2 linked regions of the Drosophila melanogaster genome follow. The protein of the gene in region 1 interacts with the protein of each later gene in a pairwise test. Each region holds a gene or a part of one and is shown on either strand. Other genes may lie near its edges.

Region 1 (6,411 bases):
CTCGACTTTCGTAATAGCTTCAGAGCTGCATTGGTTTGGAGGTTGCTGCTTGGCTTGCGCAATAATTCGAATGCCCGCCTTTGTATCTGCTGCATCCCGCACGCTCTCCTGATCGATCAGCGTGCGCAAGCGCTTTGCACACTCAATGGCTGGCGAAGATGAAGGCTGAGACTCATGGATAACAACCATTGGCTGATTATTGGCACGTTGTCTGCTCTGAGTTTGATTAAGAGGAGATCGGATCTTCTTAGTAGGTGACTTTCGTTTGTCGACTTGAGGGGAACTGTTGGGGGCCGCCGATAAGGGACTCAATCCCGAGTTGTTAAATGCCGATTGCTTGCGTGGGGATATTTCACCAAAGTTTATGGCAGTTTTTTTGGCGTGCGGATGATGGGATTGGTGAGAGTTGCCCAGATTGGGCGTACTGGTCGCTGCATTGTTAAAGCTTGAGTTGGTATACAAGCCGGGATTCAATCTGATTGCATGTGCTCTTAAGCCTGTCTCATCGCACATCTCAATAGATGAGCAGCTGTTCTGCTCATCACTCGTGGTATCAATAATCAAGGCGCGGCTGGCATCATCTTCCTCACTCCGATCCGCGCCATCGTCGCTATCTGTATTGGAAGCCATACTAAGAAGTTTTTCTCCCTGGGCACGAATACCATGGGCGCAGTTTATCGAGTCACTGGAGACGGGTGGCACGTCATGAGATTGTTCATTGTAAATACTGGCAGCCATAAAAGACAGTTTGGCAGGCAATAGGATCTTGGCTCCATAAAATATGCGACCATTGATATACTTTAAGTGACAACCTGGTTTACTTGGCGTAGGTACATCTGTAAACTCTTGAATAGTTTCCGTATATTCTCCCGTTGTATTGTTTTGAACGTCATGCAAATTTATGGTCTCTACAGGAGAAAGGATTCTGGAAATAAAAGACAATGTTACATTAAATCAATCTCGAGTATTTTGTTTACCATTCTTACCTTTTTGGTGGTTTTCCCTGTGGGAATTGTTGCACAAACCAATCGATCAGAAATTGATTGCCCTTGAGCAAGGGCATTATCTTATTTTCAACTTTTTTCATGCTGACATTAGGCATTTCGGCCAACTCGTTTAGACAGGCATAAATCTTCCTGATTTGAGCTGGCTGCTTACTGAAGTAAATGTTAAGTTTGTTGATAAAGTTGGTAGCATTGCATATCATAAAGTGCTCAAAGAATTTTCCCATCTCAGCGGCCTCGGCAGGTAGCAAAAAGTTGAGGAATACTTCAGCCAGTTCGGGATGAGTGGGTAGCAAAATTTCTTCCACTTTCTAAGAACCCCAAAAAAAAATTAGAATGCAATAAGAGTAAGACACTTAAGTGATACATACCAAATACAAAGATGAAACTTTCTCCTGCCTGGGGTCGAAGTTTTGCAAAATACTGTTGAATTTTTTGCAATCATCTAGGCGATTGGCACTCAGCAAGGCCTCCTCTACCTTTTCATAAAAATTCATGGCAAAAACTGAACGTGCAAAATAATAAAATTATTCAAGTTGAATTTCATTAAATGGGATTGAACTAAAACTTACTGGCATCTTTGCGATTGCGCTCTTCTGTAGTATCCGGCTGGAGCATTTGGCGAAGCATCTCCTCCTGCCGGTTGGCTCTTCTCAGCTTCGCCGCCTCATCATCACTCCTAGATCTCTTTGGCTGCGCTGCCGTTTTAGAGTTTGTATTGCTGCAGAACATCCTCAGATCGACCAGAAGTTGAGTGTACAGTTCGAGGGCGAAAAAACGATTGTGCACGACCTGTACCAACTCGCAGTCTTTATATTTTTCGATGTGATGACGCAGGTAGGATTCATAGGTGGTGATTAGGGAATGACAGCGCTGGCTTAGTTTATGGCGCAAACGTTCGCGCAATATATGGTATCGACTGCGGGTTGGTGTTGACCCTTTTCGCGATTTATTGGCGGATTGAACCTTTGGCTTAAAGATTTGGTATCGCGCCCTTTTGGCGTTTCTGCCTGGGACGGAAGGGGTATCCTGCGCAGGCAACAGATCCGGCTGTACGGCCTTGCTGGATTCCTCCAATTCGCAGATTTGTAGTGTGTTAGTGAACTTGTCTACTGTGAAGTTGATGGCTGGCGGAGCATTTTCATCCAATGGTGGAGGAGCAGGCGGCAAGGCCAGCAGACTACTGCACTCGGCGGCGGTGTATAAGCTGCGATTGATGTTCAGTACGTTCTCGGCCAGATTTCCGCCGGCCACCAAGGGCACCGAAACCCCAGAGACCCCGGGTATGTTTCCCGCGCTCGTATTCCCGCCAAAAACATAATTCACATTGATGGTAAGCTGTGGTGGGTTTTCCGCAGGGCGGGGTCTCCTTTGCGCTGGCCTTTTCTTCGGTTTGCTCTCCTTGGGCGGTTCCGAACCAGCAGCACTGCCATTGGGGACCGCAGCCTGACCAAAAGTCTCTGGCAGCAGCAGGTCCTCGCCGACCGCCTCGCGTACAAACTCCAAATAAGAAGCACTAGCCACCGACGATGCTTTCGATGCTTTAAAATTGCGACGTGTGCGCTTTTGATCCCAAGTTTTCTGAAAAATAATAGATTGAAAATTGTCCGCGATTTATAAACACAGCGATGGCACAAGCTATGTATATTGATATCGATAACTTTGGTCGATGGTACCTAGCCACCGATGACCAGTGATTTATTTCGTAAAATAATTCTGCCAACAATCACTAGCAAGTATATTACTTAAAATTTAAGAGAAAAATTAATAAAGTTCTAAACATGTATTCCTAATTAGGTACGGACATAGGTACATTTATGCAAATATTACTCATCACAGACGATAACTCGCTGCCTTGCCTATCGTAATATTGACCGCACTAAAGTAAGAGCGTCAACATATTTTATTGTTTTTAAATAAAATACCCCTTAAAACTATTTTCAAACCAACTAATTTATACTTGTTTAAACTTTAACCACCAGGGCTCAAACACTCTGCCTGTGGAAAACATCGGAAACCCGTTTATTCCCATAGAGTATCAAAACTGACCACGTCTGCACATTCCACTATGAGCAAAGTAACCTTCAAAATCACGCTAACTTCGGACCCCAAGCTGCCCTTTAAGGTGCTTAGTGTTCCGGAGGGAACTCCCTTTACGGCTGTGCTGAAATTCGCCTCTGAAGAGTTCAAGGTTCCGGCGGAGACGAGTGCCATCATCACGGACGATGGAATTGGCATCAGCCCACAGCAGACTGCTGGTAATGTGTTCCTAAAGCACGGATCCGAGCTGCGCCTCATACCCAGAGATCGAGTGGGCCACCAACTAAGCTAGTTTTCCTAATCCCATCTTATTTACCCTTTGAGATTTTCCCCCTTTTTGATGCTTATTAAATGTTAAACAATGTATCCGATAATAACCCATTGTATTCCTTACCTCAATGTAGTATTGCCAGCCACTGGGAAGCTCCATGTGTCGTTCCCGCGGAGTTCTCACCAGCCCACCAGCGAATCCCCAAAGGATGGCGTTAGCGGGCGGTGCTCGACGATGTTCAAAGAAATACTTCACTGGATTGTACTGTTTTGAGTTGCGTAGCTCCGCGATTTTCAAGAAAATTCGGCGGGCAGTCTTTCCACAAATCGTATCCTTAATCATTCGCTTACAGGCAACGCGAATGGGATCTGCACCTTTGCGTAGTTGTCTCTTGGCTTTTACCATTAATGCCAAGTGCTTCTCTAGGCCAATGGCAATAAGCTGATATTCGGATGGTGCGTAAGCGGTGGTTTGAGTCAGTTTCGGTTGAAACGCCATACGGGGTAGGTACTGCGGATACATAAACACCCGGCTATCCAGCATGAGATCCATAATACGAGGCGCCAGCCTGGGAACCTGGCGCGTGTGGCCATCACTAAAATAGTAAATACAAGTTGTACAGCAGCATGTTTTGTTTAAAGTTTCACCAACTTACGTCAGATCCGTTTCCTTATTGATGAAGTCCATCATCTTCTCGTTCTCCTCCTTAAACTCATCACTGGACAGATCATGTTCCCATTTTCTAACCAGCTGAACAGCCTCCTGCAGATTCCAGCAATTAAAACTGGGATCTTTAGTTGCCATTTTGTGCAATTCTTCCAACATTTCTCTGGGCTTCTTGGCCATGGGGTACAACGTAGGATGGGAGTAGGTTTGCAGATAGCTTTGACTGAGCAACTGCGTGTGAATGCGAAGCTGCTGCTGAAGCATATCATGCTGAGACTGGGTAAATCCCCTGCTCCTGGCGAGATGATTGAGGTTTACTGGCTCTACGTTTCGCAGGCTCTCAAACTTTTCCTCATACTCCGAATATATATGTTTCCTAACCGAGATGTATTCCCAGGTGAAGTTCGTATCAAATGGTTTTTTATATCGATCTCCATTGCTTGCAGCTACCACGGGGGGTTCCATTGGATGCAAGCTAGAAAAGTTCTGCAGTGTCTCTTCAGTTAATGGAAGACCAACAGTTGAATCATTGCCTACAACTTTGGCGATTTGGAAGCAATTAGGTTGCCCAGGTATTGGAACAGCTATTAGTTCGGGGGGAACAGTCAGCGCCTCGGAAGGTATGTTTACCACATTGCAAGCGGATCCACCAGTTTCCTCCTGCAGCACAGCCACAGGGACAGGCACACCCATGCCCATTTCGTTCCCTTCGCAAGGAGGCGGCATTAGATTAGGTTGAAAAACGGACAGCTCCTGCTGATTAGCATTTATCTGCTGGCCATCAAAATCGATGTTACGGGACACTTGATCAATGGGAATCATCGAAACGTTGGCACTTTCAACGAATTTTTGAGGTGTTTCCAATTCAATCGATTCCAGAGAGACTCCTTCTTCCAGCAAACCAGCAAACAGCTCAGAGACCAGGTCAGTTAACTCTTTTTTAGATATATTTACATCGCGCAGCTCCTCGGCGTTCTCATATTCCGATTCCAAGTGATCAGCGGCCACATATTCTGGATCGTTAATAGGATCATCATCGTCGCCCTGGACCGTATTGTCTGTAAGATATTAAAGTTAGGGAGAGCATAAAAGCATCCATTGATACTACATACTTAAAGGCTTTGTAAAGTCATTGAGGAACTGCATCCAATCCGCATCGTTGGCGGTCATTTCGTTCTCCACCACATCGCTAGGCTCCACGTCCGGCGGGACAAATTCCGACTGCAAATCCTCAATGGTAGTTTGCTGCAAACAAAATTTGGAGCGCGTTCTAGTGGCAATCCTAAGATCCTCTTTATCCTGAAAATTTCTGTCCAACGGCACCTTGAAACAACCGTCATCAGAGAATTTGATAGGAGATTCCTCATTGGCAGTAAGAGGAGTTTGAGGCGTGCAGGGATTGGAGTCGAAATCCGATGCTGTAGTGTTAGGATCATCATCGGACTGATAATAAAGGAATAATAACAATTATTGAACAACGATCAATTGGCCTCAATGTTTATACTCACATGAAAGTCCTCCTCCTTGAAGGTATACTCCTCGTCCTCCTCATCAGAGTGCAAATCCTCACGTATTAGAGCCTCTATACCATTATTGTCGGTGGAAGTTTCATTGAGCTGGGGCAGCGAGATCCCAGGCGTGCAGTTCAGTTCCCGTGCTTTCGCTCGCGTTAGCTTGGGCACAGATGGAGTGTCCGTTATGATGATGGCACCCCGCTTTTGCTGCTCCGCCGACTCCAACTTCTCCCGCGCCAGCTCGTCCTCCGCCTTCAAAGTGACTAATGCCAGAACATGATCGTTGCGCACCACCTTCCGGACCACCTTTTGCATGTCCTCGGCACTGATGGAGTTCTTCTTGGCCACTTTCCGTAGCCGGCGATCGATCTCCTTGGCATCCTCATCGACCTGCGAGTCCAGGCTCTGGCGATCCACTCGTTTGCGCTTTCGCGGTCTTCGTGGCGTCGAGCTATTGCTCTTTGCAGAGTCCGACTTCTTTGCACTGCTCGGCATTGCGACACTTCATTTATGAGTGAAATTTTAGCTTAAATTCAACCCAACTGCCAAATAAAAGCGGCAGTTTATTTAGGAAATGCCGCCACTATAATGTGCCATATCGATTTGAGGTGGGGCAATCAACGATATTAGTTTGATAGTATCGATTGCAATTCACGTGACGTATTAACTGTTTATTTTTAAATTAAATTATAAGGCTGTATTGTACACTAAATTAATAGTTCGAGAGCAACGAGAATTAAGTTTACATATTAATTTAATTCTGTTTATTAAATATATTATTCTCGTATCGATAATATATCGAAAGTGTCTAATGCTTCCTCAAACCCTCTGGTCACACCATGCTCTGCTTTTCCGGGCTTCTGCCCAAAAATAATATATAATAATAAAACCGCTTCACAAAGTAAATGTCACCAAA
Region 2 (6,569 bases), about 10 Mb from region 1:
ATCTCGGCGACGAAGGACCCCAAACTTTTCGATAAGCACGAGCTGGCAGAGTGCTTTCTGGGCCTCACCAAGTGCGACGACACAAACGTGCGCAAGGAGGCGGCCAAGTGCATTGCGGAGATCACCAAGTCCGAGGTGCAGCGCAAGAAGTTCACCAAGAGGAATATAATAGCCGCATTTCTGGAGTGCTTGCGACAAGTGCCCACGTCCGACGGCAGTATGGAGCTGCCCATACAGATTTGTCGGGCACTGGGCAATATCTGCTACCTAAACGACGAAGCCAGGGACTTAATACTCGAGCTGGAGGGCGATGCTGTTCTACTGCGACTGCTGGACATCACAACCATCGAGGACGTGGCCAATGCGGCGCAATTCATCAAAGTGCGCGGCGGCTTGCTGTCCAACTATTTGCTCGGAGGCGAGGGCTTGGCCAAGCGGGCCATGGAGTTGGGCGTGATGAAGAAGCTGCAAGGCATCATCGACATTGGCGCCTCCAATGTGGAACAGCATGAGGATCTGCTGCTGAACACGCTTCCACTGCTCAGTATACTCACCGAGAACGTGTCGGATCTGAACTTCGACTCTTCCCTGAATATCCAGCTGTCTCGCATTCTGGCCGCTTCCACGAATCCCGATCTTGCCGAGATGTGCCTGGAGCTGCTCCATTACCAGGCGGAGAGCGACGAAGTCAAGCTTATTTTGGCCAAGGACGGTCTGTGCGAAACCATCTACAACCTGCTGGAAAAGTACAAGACTCTGGCCAGCACAAGTGAGGCCAGGGCGTTGATGAAACTCGCCTGCGAACTCATCGTATTAATCCTTACTGGTGGTAAGTTTCGGATCATATGAATTAGAATGTTGTCGACAAATTCTTCAACTTGTTCCATTTCAAAACTAATTATTGTACTATTGTTCTAGATGACTCAATGCACTATTTGTACACCACGCCGCTGCTGAAGAACATGGTCGATTGGCTGGACTCGACGGACATCGATCTGCTAACCACCGGCGTGCTGGCCCTGGGCAACTTTGCGCGCACCGATAGCCACTGCATCTACTTTGTGGAGCAGCAGACCATGAACAAGCTGCTCGAGGTGCTGGCCAAGAACAACGGCGTCAAGGACGATGTGCGCCTGCAGCACGCTCTTCTCTCCGCGCTGCGCAACCTGGTCATCCCGAAGCCAAACAAGAACGCGGTAATCCAGGCGGGCCTGGTGCAGACCATTCTTCCCATGCTCGAAATACACCAGCCACCAGTCGTCTTCAAGCTGCTGGGCACACTTCGCATGACCGTCGACGGACAGGGTGAGTAGTGGCAACAACCGCACGCGATCCGCATCTCTAACAACATCTGCTTTTCCAGAGAAACTCGCACTGGAGTTGCTGAAGAACAAGACTCTGATCGAGCAGCTGGTGCACTGGAGCAAATCGTCGGACTATGCGGGCGTCACCGGCGAGTCTCTGCGCCTCATGGCCTGGCTGATCAAGCACGCCTACCTCAGCAAAATCGCATACGCACTGCCGCGCAAGGGCGATGCACCCGCCGAACAGATTGCCGACAAGATTCCGCTAACGCAAGACTACGATCGCAGTAGCTTGAGCGAGTTCCTTGCCAACGAGGGCACCGTGGAGGCCATGGTCAGCATGCTCACAGCTCAGCACCTGGTCATGCAGAACGAGGCGCTGATTGCCCTGTGCATCCTGTCCGTGGTGTACCTGTCGCAGCCCAGCGAGGCGGCGCAGGCCCAGCTGCTGCAGGACGAGCTGGTCAAGTGCGAGGTCGGCAAGAAGTTGGCCGAGCTCATCAGCAAGTCGTCGGACACGATGACCAAGGAGATTGTCGAGAACCTGCAGAACTGCGTGAACTTGCTCAAATCTTCCGAGCAGCTGGTGGCGCATCTGGAACAGCATAACATCAACGAGCTGCTGAAGTCTATACCCATTCTCACCGAATACTGCACCTTGTAAGAAAACGGGGACTGTCATTGCATTTATCCCAGCACCGCAGGATGCCTCACAGTGGGATGGGTCGATTTGCACGATTGAACATAACATAAATACTTTAGGGGTAAGCAGTTATCTTTGGAAGTTATCTGTGTGGTCTTACCAAGAGAAACGCCAATACTTATTCGTAACGATACAAAGATTAATACGTTGCGCTAATGTGCTAAACTCCACTTTACTACTTAATAACAATTTTGTTAAATTGTAATTAAATCCACTCTCTTGAGATTCACTGACGTTGCACGATTCCAAATAGCCAAAGATAAATGTTTGCCACTATTAGAGCATGTTTTAAAAAAAATCAGCCCACCCTTAGCCACACAGACACACTCAGAACCGGAGAAAATAGTAGTTTTCACCCCAAAGCAACGATTCAGATGTAGACTTGACTGTAGTTTGGTAAGAAGAAAGTGCAGATTCACAAGTTAAGCAGTTAATCAGTTAAGCACACTGGAACACGCGAACACGAGAGGAGCAGAAAGTATTTTTTAGACGCAAGCGTATTTTGACTGCATTTATGAAGAGAATCCGATGTAGTAAGGAGTCACAAATCGTATGAATATTTATAGCATACATACATAACATATACGTATAAATATAATAATATTAATAATTTAGCATATTAATCTTTTCTGTTACATGATTTTTAAGAGCACAATAACAACAAATCGTGGTGATATCGCTAAATATATTTAATAAATGTATTTTATGATTGTACTTATAATTTTCAATCGACCTCTTTTAAACCGTTGCTGGCACAAACCAAAAACGAGAAGATAACAAAACATTTAGACGCACGACGTAATTAAGGTATTTTAATTGGTGCACAGACACATATTGCAAACGGCATCCCATATATTTATTGTAAAACTCGGCGAAGTTATCCAAAATGCATTTTTAAGCTAACTTTAAAACATTAACAAAACTGCAACTCAGTAACAATCAGCAATCCGAAAATAGTTGAAAACCAATAATGCAAATATTTCAATTTTACAAATCGTAGTTTATGGAGTGCTACAAATTTTACCAATTATTAAAAACGATGTACTAATGTTTGGTCACCAAAAACTAAAAATTAAACGAACACAATTCAAGGGGAATGGTGTTAATATATAAAGCGTTGAGACACCCACACACATAAATGCGAAAACATATTTATGAACTCTAAACACAATAATGTACATTTAATAATTCAAATAAAATTTGAAATGCATGAGAAATAAGAGAAAACCAAATAGATGCGTTTAAATTTAGGCGCTACAAACGGGCTGTTATCGATAATTCGATGAGAGAGTTGGTGATGGATAATTGTAGTAAAACAATTATGACAACATTGCTTAATATAAAAATATAAATTTTATCAAAATTTTGGGCGGAATAGCCTTTCATCATGACTCATTCTTATATTCGTTAATTTTATTTTCCGCATTATTGTTATTTTATTTTGGCTGACTTTGTCATTGGTGCATGACGATTCAGCTTGTACCATCTCTAGCCAGAGCAAAAAAAAAAACATTCCAATTTCTTTGCTGCGATTTCACTTTCACAAAACAAATTACGGCTGCCCAAGGTAAATAAACAAAAAAGAAAAGGAGCAGGTGAATCAGGCCTAGGCTATCAAATTACTCAGTTTCGAAAACAATTCCTATGGCGGCGGAAAAGTGTGCAGAAGAGTTTGGGGACTCCTCCGCGGCGTCCTTGAAAATTGTACCAAAGGACTATGCATATCCACTTCTAGAGGATCCGCAAGGCGCGCTGACCACGCCCACTGAAGGCGGGCGGACGCTAGTTACCCGCGGTGGCTTTAACTACTTCCACTACGGATGCGATGGCCACCAGGATGCTGGCTGGGGTTGTGGCTACCGCACCCTGCAATCGGCCATTTCCTGGATCCAACGTCGACAGGGGTCGAGCGGTCATGTTCCTTCCATCCGGGAGATTCAGCAGATCCTGGTGGCCATCGGCGACAAGGGTCCAGAGTTCGTGGGCTCGCGCGACTGGATCGGAACGCTCGAGGAGTTCTACGTGATCGATGTGCTGCACCAGGTGCCGTGCAAGATTCTTCACGCCAAGGAGCTTAGCTCGGACGAGATCCTCGGCGAGCTTCGGAGCTATTTTGAGAAGTACCAAGGCTTCGTCGCCATGGGCGGTCTGAGTGACACCGCCTCCAAGGCTATTACCGGCTACCATTGCAGTGCACGCGGTCGCATCTTCCTGCAGGTGGTGGTGAGTCAGCGAATTAGCTCATTTTATGAACTGGTGAACTAATCGCTCGCTTCCCTTTTTAGGATCCGCATTTCGTAGGCGTGCCCAGCTCCCGGCAGCACTTAATCGATCTGGGCTACGTTCGTTGGGTGCCCGTTGACGAGTTCGCCGGCAGCACGTACAACCTCTGCCTCATCTTGCAGCCGTAGTCGCAACTCTCCGTACCTATTTTAGCAATAAATCCCGCTCAGCTCTTGATTACTATTACTTACTGAAAGTTGCCTTATAGCCACGTTTCTCTTCCATTTTAGCGGCCGATACTCAATGGACCTTATCAATTATTAAATCGGACCGCACGATAATGGCGCTGATAAACCGGCGGCATTGAGCCCCAGAACCTCGACAAGCAGCTACTGCCAGCTGTTAAGCATATCAAACAGCGCGAACATATTGTAAAAGCCGGAAAAGACAGCTGAGTGAGCATGGATCTAATGCACCGCACCCTGCTCACCGCCCTGGGTGCGCTGTCAGTGGTCTACGCCCTGGTCAAGTTCAGTCTGGGCTACTGGAAACGGCGGGGGATCCTGCACGAAAAGCCCAAGTTCCTGTGGGGCAACATTAAGGGCGTGGTGAGCGGGAAGAGGCATGCCCAGGACGCCTTGCAGGATATCTACACCGCATACAAGGGCAGGGCGCCGTTTGTGGGATTCTACGCCTGCCTCAAGCCGTTCATCTTGGCGCTGGACCTGAAGCTAGTCCACCAAATAATCTTCACCGACGCGGGACACTTTACGTCCCGAGGCCTTTATAGTAATCCCAGTGGAGAGCCGCTGTCGCATAATCTCCTTCAGCTGGACGGTCACAAGTGGCGGTCACTGCACGCCAAATCTGCAGAGGTTTTCACTCCGGCCAACATGCAGAAGCTGCTGGTCAGACTGTCGCAAATCTCCTCCAGAATTCAAAGGGACCTGGGCGAAAAGAGCCTTCAAACTATCAATATAAGCGAACTCGTGGGTGCATACAATACGGACGTTATGGCGTCAATGGCCTTTGGACTAGTAGGGCAGGATAACGTGGAGTTCGCTAAGTGGACGCGCAACTACTGGGCGGACTTTAGGATGTGGCAGGCTTATCTGGCGCTTGAGTTTCCGCTCATCGCTCGCCTTCTTCAGTACAAAAGCTACGCAGAACCTGCTACAGCTTACTTCCAAAAAGTGGCCCTGTCGCAGTTGCAGTTGCATCGAAGAAGGGATCGCCAGCCACTCCAGACCTTTCTGCAGCTATATTCCAACGCAGAAAAGCCGCTCACCGACATCGAGATTGCGGGCCAAGCCTTCGGCTTCGTTCTGGCTGGCTTGGGCCCCCTGAATGCCACCCTAGCATTCTGCCTCTACGAGTTGGCCCGCCAGCCTGAGGTGCAAGATCGAACCAGGCTCGAGATTAACAAGGCACTGGAGGAGCATGGTGGCCAAGTGACACCGGAGTGCCTAAGGGAGCTCAGGTATACGAAGCAAGTCCTCAATGGTGAGTACCAAATATTGAAAAGCTCTTTATAGCTCCAATGACTTCACCTTTTTTTTAGAAACGCTTCGCCTGCACACTCCACATCCCTTCCTGCTACGCCGGGCTACCAAAGAATTCGAAGTGCCCGGATCGGTGTTTGTAATTGCCAAAGGCAACAATGTGCTGATACCAACGGCGGCGATACACATGGATCCTGGCATTTATGAAAACCCCCAGCGGTTCTACCCGGAGCGCTTTGAGGAACAGGCAAGGCGATCCCGCCCGGCAGCTGCGTTCCTGCCTTTCGGCGATGGCCTGCGAGGATGCATTGCCGCTCGCTTTGCAGAGCAGCAGCTTCTGGTGGGCCTGGTGGCTCTGCTGAGGCAGCACAGATACGCTCCCTCTGCGGAGACCTCGATTCCCGTGGAGTACGACAACCGGAGACTGCTCTTGATGCCCAAGTCGGACATCAAACTCAGTGTGGAACGGGTGGACAAGCTTTAAAGGAGGCTCTGCTGGAGCATCGCATATTTTGTATTGTTTGCTTTACAAAGCGTTTAAGTTGTTTTTATATTTGTATATGCACCTTTTTCGTTGATTTTCCTAAGCTGTGGACTTGTGTGATAATGCTGACGATGACTTTTATAATCTTTTGCACCAAGCTCAACAACGTGAACAAATAAATAATTTAGTTGTTATATCGAACACTTTCATACCATCGGAAAATAGGACTCTTAAAAAGAATTCTATGCATAAAAGGTGAATTTGCAGCAAATGCAGAGGCCATTATTTAAAGTAAACGACGTTAAATTTATATAATTTGTTTTCAATCTATAGAATTCATGGTTTTCCAAATT

Evidence for each region.
Region 2: the proteins of Ufm1 (region 1) and Ufsp1 interact in binary tests that used the Drosophila melanogaster proteins (3 or more experiments, as listed by UniProt).

The regions. Positions count from the first base shown.
Region 1 is NT_033778.4:16,949,166-16,955,576, forward strand, and holds Ufm1 (Ubiquitin-fold modifier 1), read left to right. Parts: upstream 1-2,671; 5' UTR 2,672-2,888; intron 2,889-2,986; 5' UTR 2,987-3,072; coding exon 3,073-3,336; 3' UTR 3,337-3,416; downstream 3,417-6,411. Other genes in the region: mute (muscle wasted), read right to left, coding at 1-925, 987-1,315, 1,376-1,509, 1,577-2,585, 3,439-3,910, 3,971-5,039, 5,094-5,424, 5,490-5,990. UniProt on the Drosophila melanogaster protein: Ubiquitin-like modifier which can be covalently attached via an isopeptide bond to substrate proteins as a monomer or a lysine-linked polymer.
Region 2 is NT_033778.4:6,971,952-6,978,520, reverse strand, and holds Ufsp1 (UFM1 specific peptidase 1), read left to right. Parts: upstream 1-3,387; 5' UTR 3,388-3,651; coding exon 3,652-4,230; intron 4,231-4,292; coding exon 4,293-4,418; 3' UTR 4,419-4,483; downstream 4,484-6,569. Other genes in the region: vimar (visceral mesodermal armadillo-repeats), read left to right, coding at 1-829, 919-1,305, 1,364-1,968; Cyp6u1 (cytochrome P450 6u1), read left to right, coding at 4,692-5,733, 5,792-6,216. UniProt on the Drosophila melanogaster protein: Thiol protease which recognizes and hydrolyzes the peptide bond at the C-terminal Gly of UFM1, a ubiquitin-like modifier protein bound to a number of target proteins.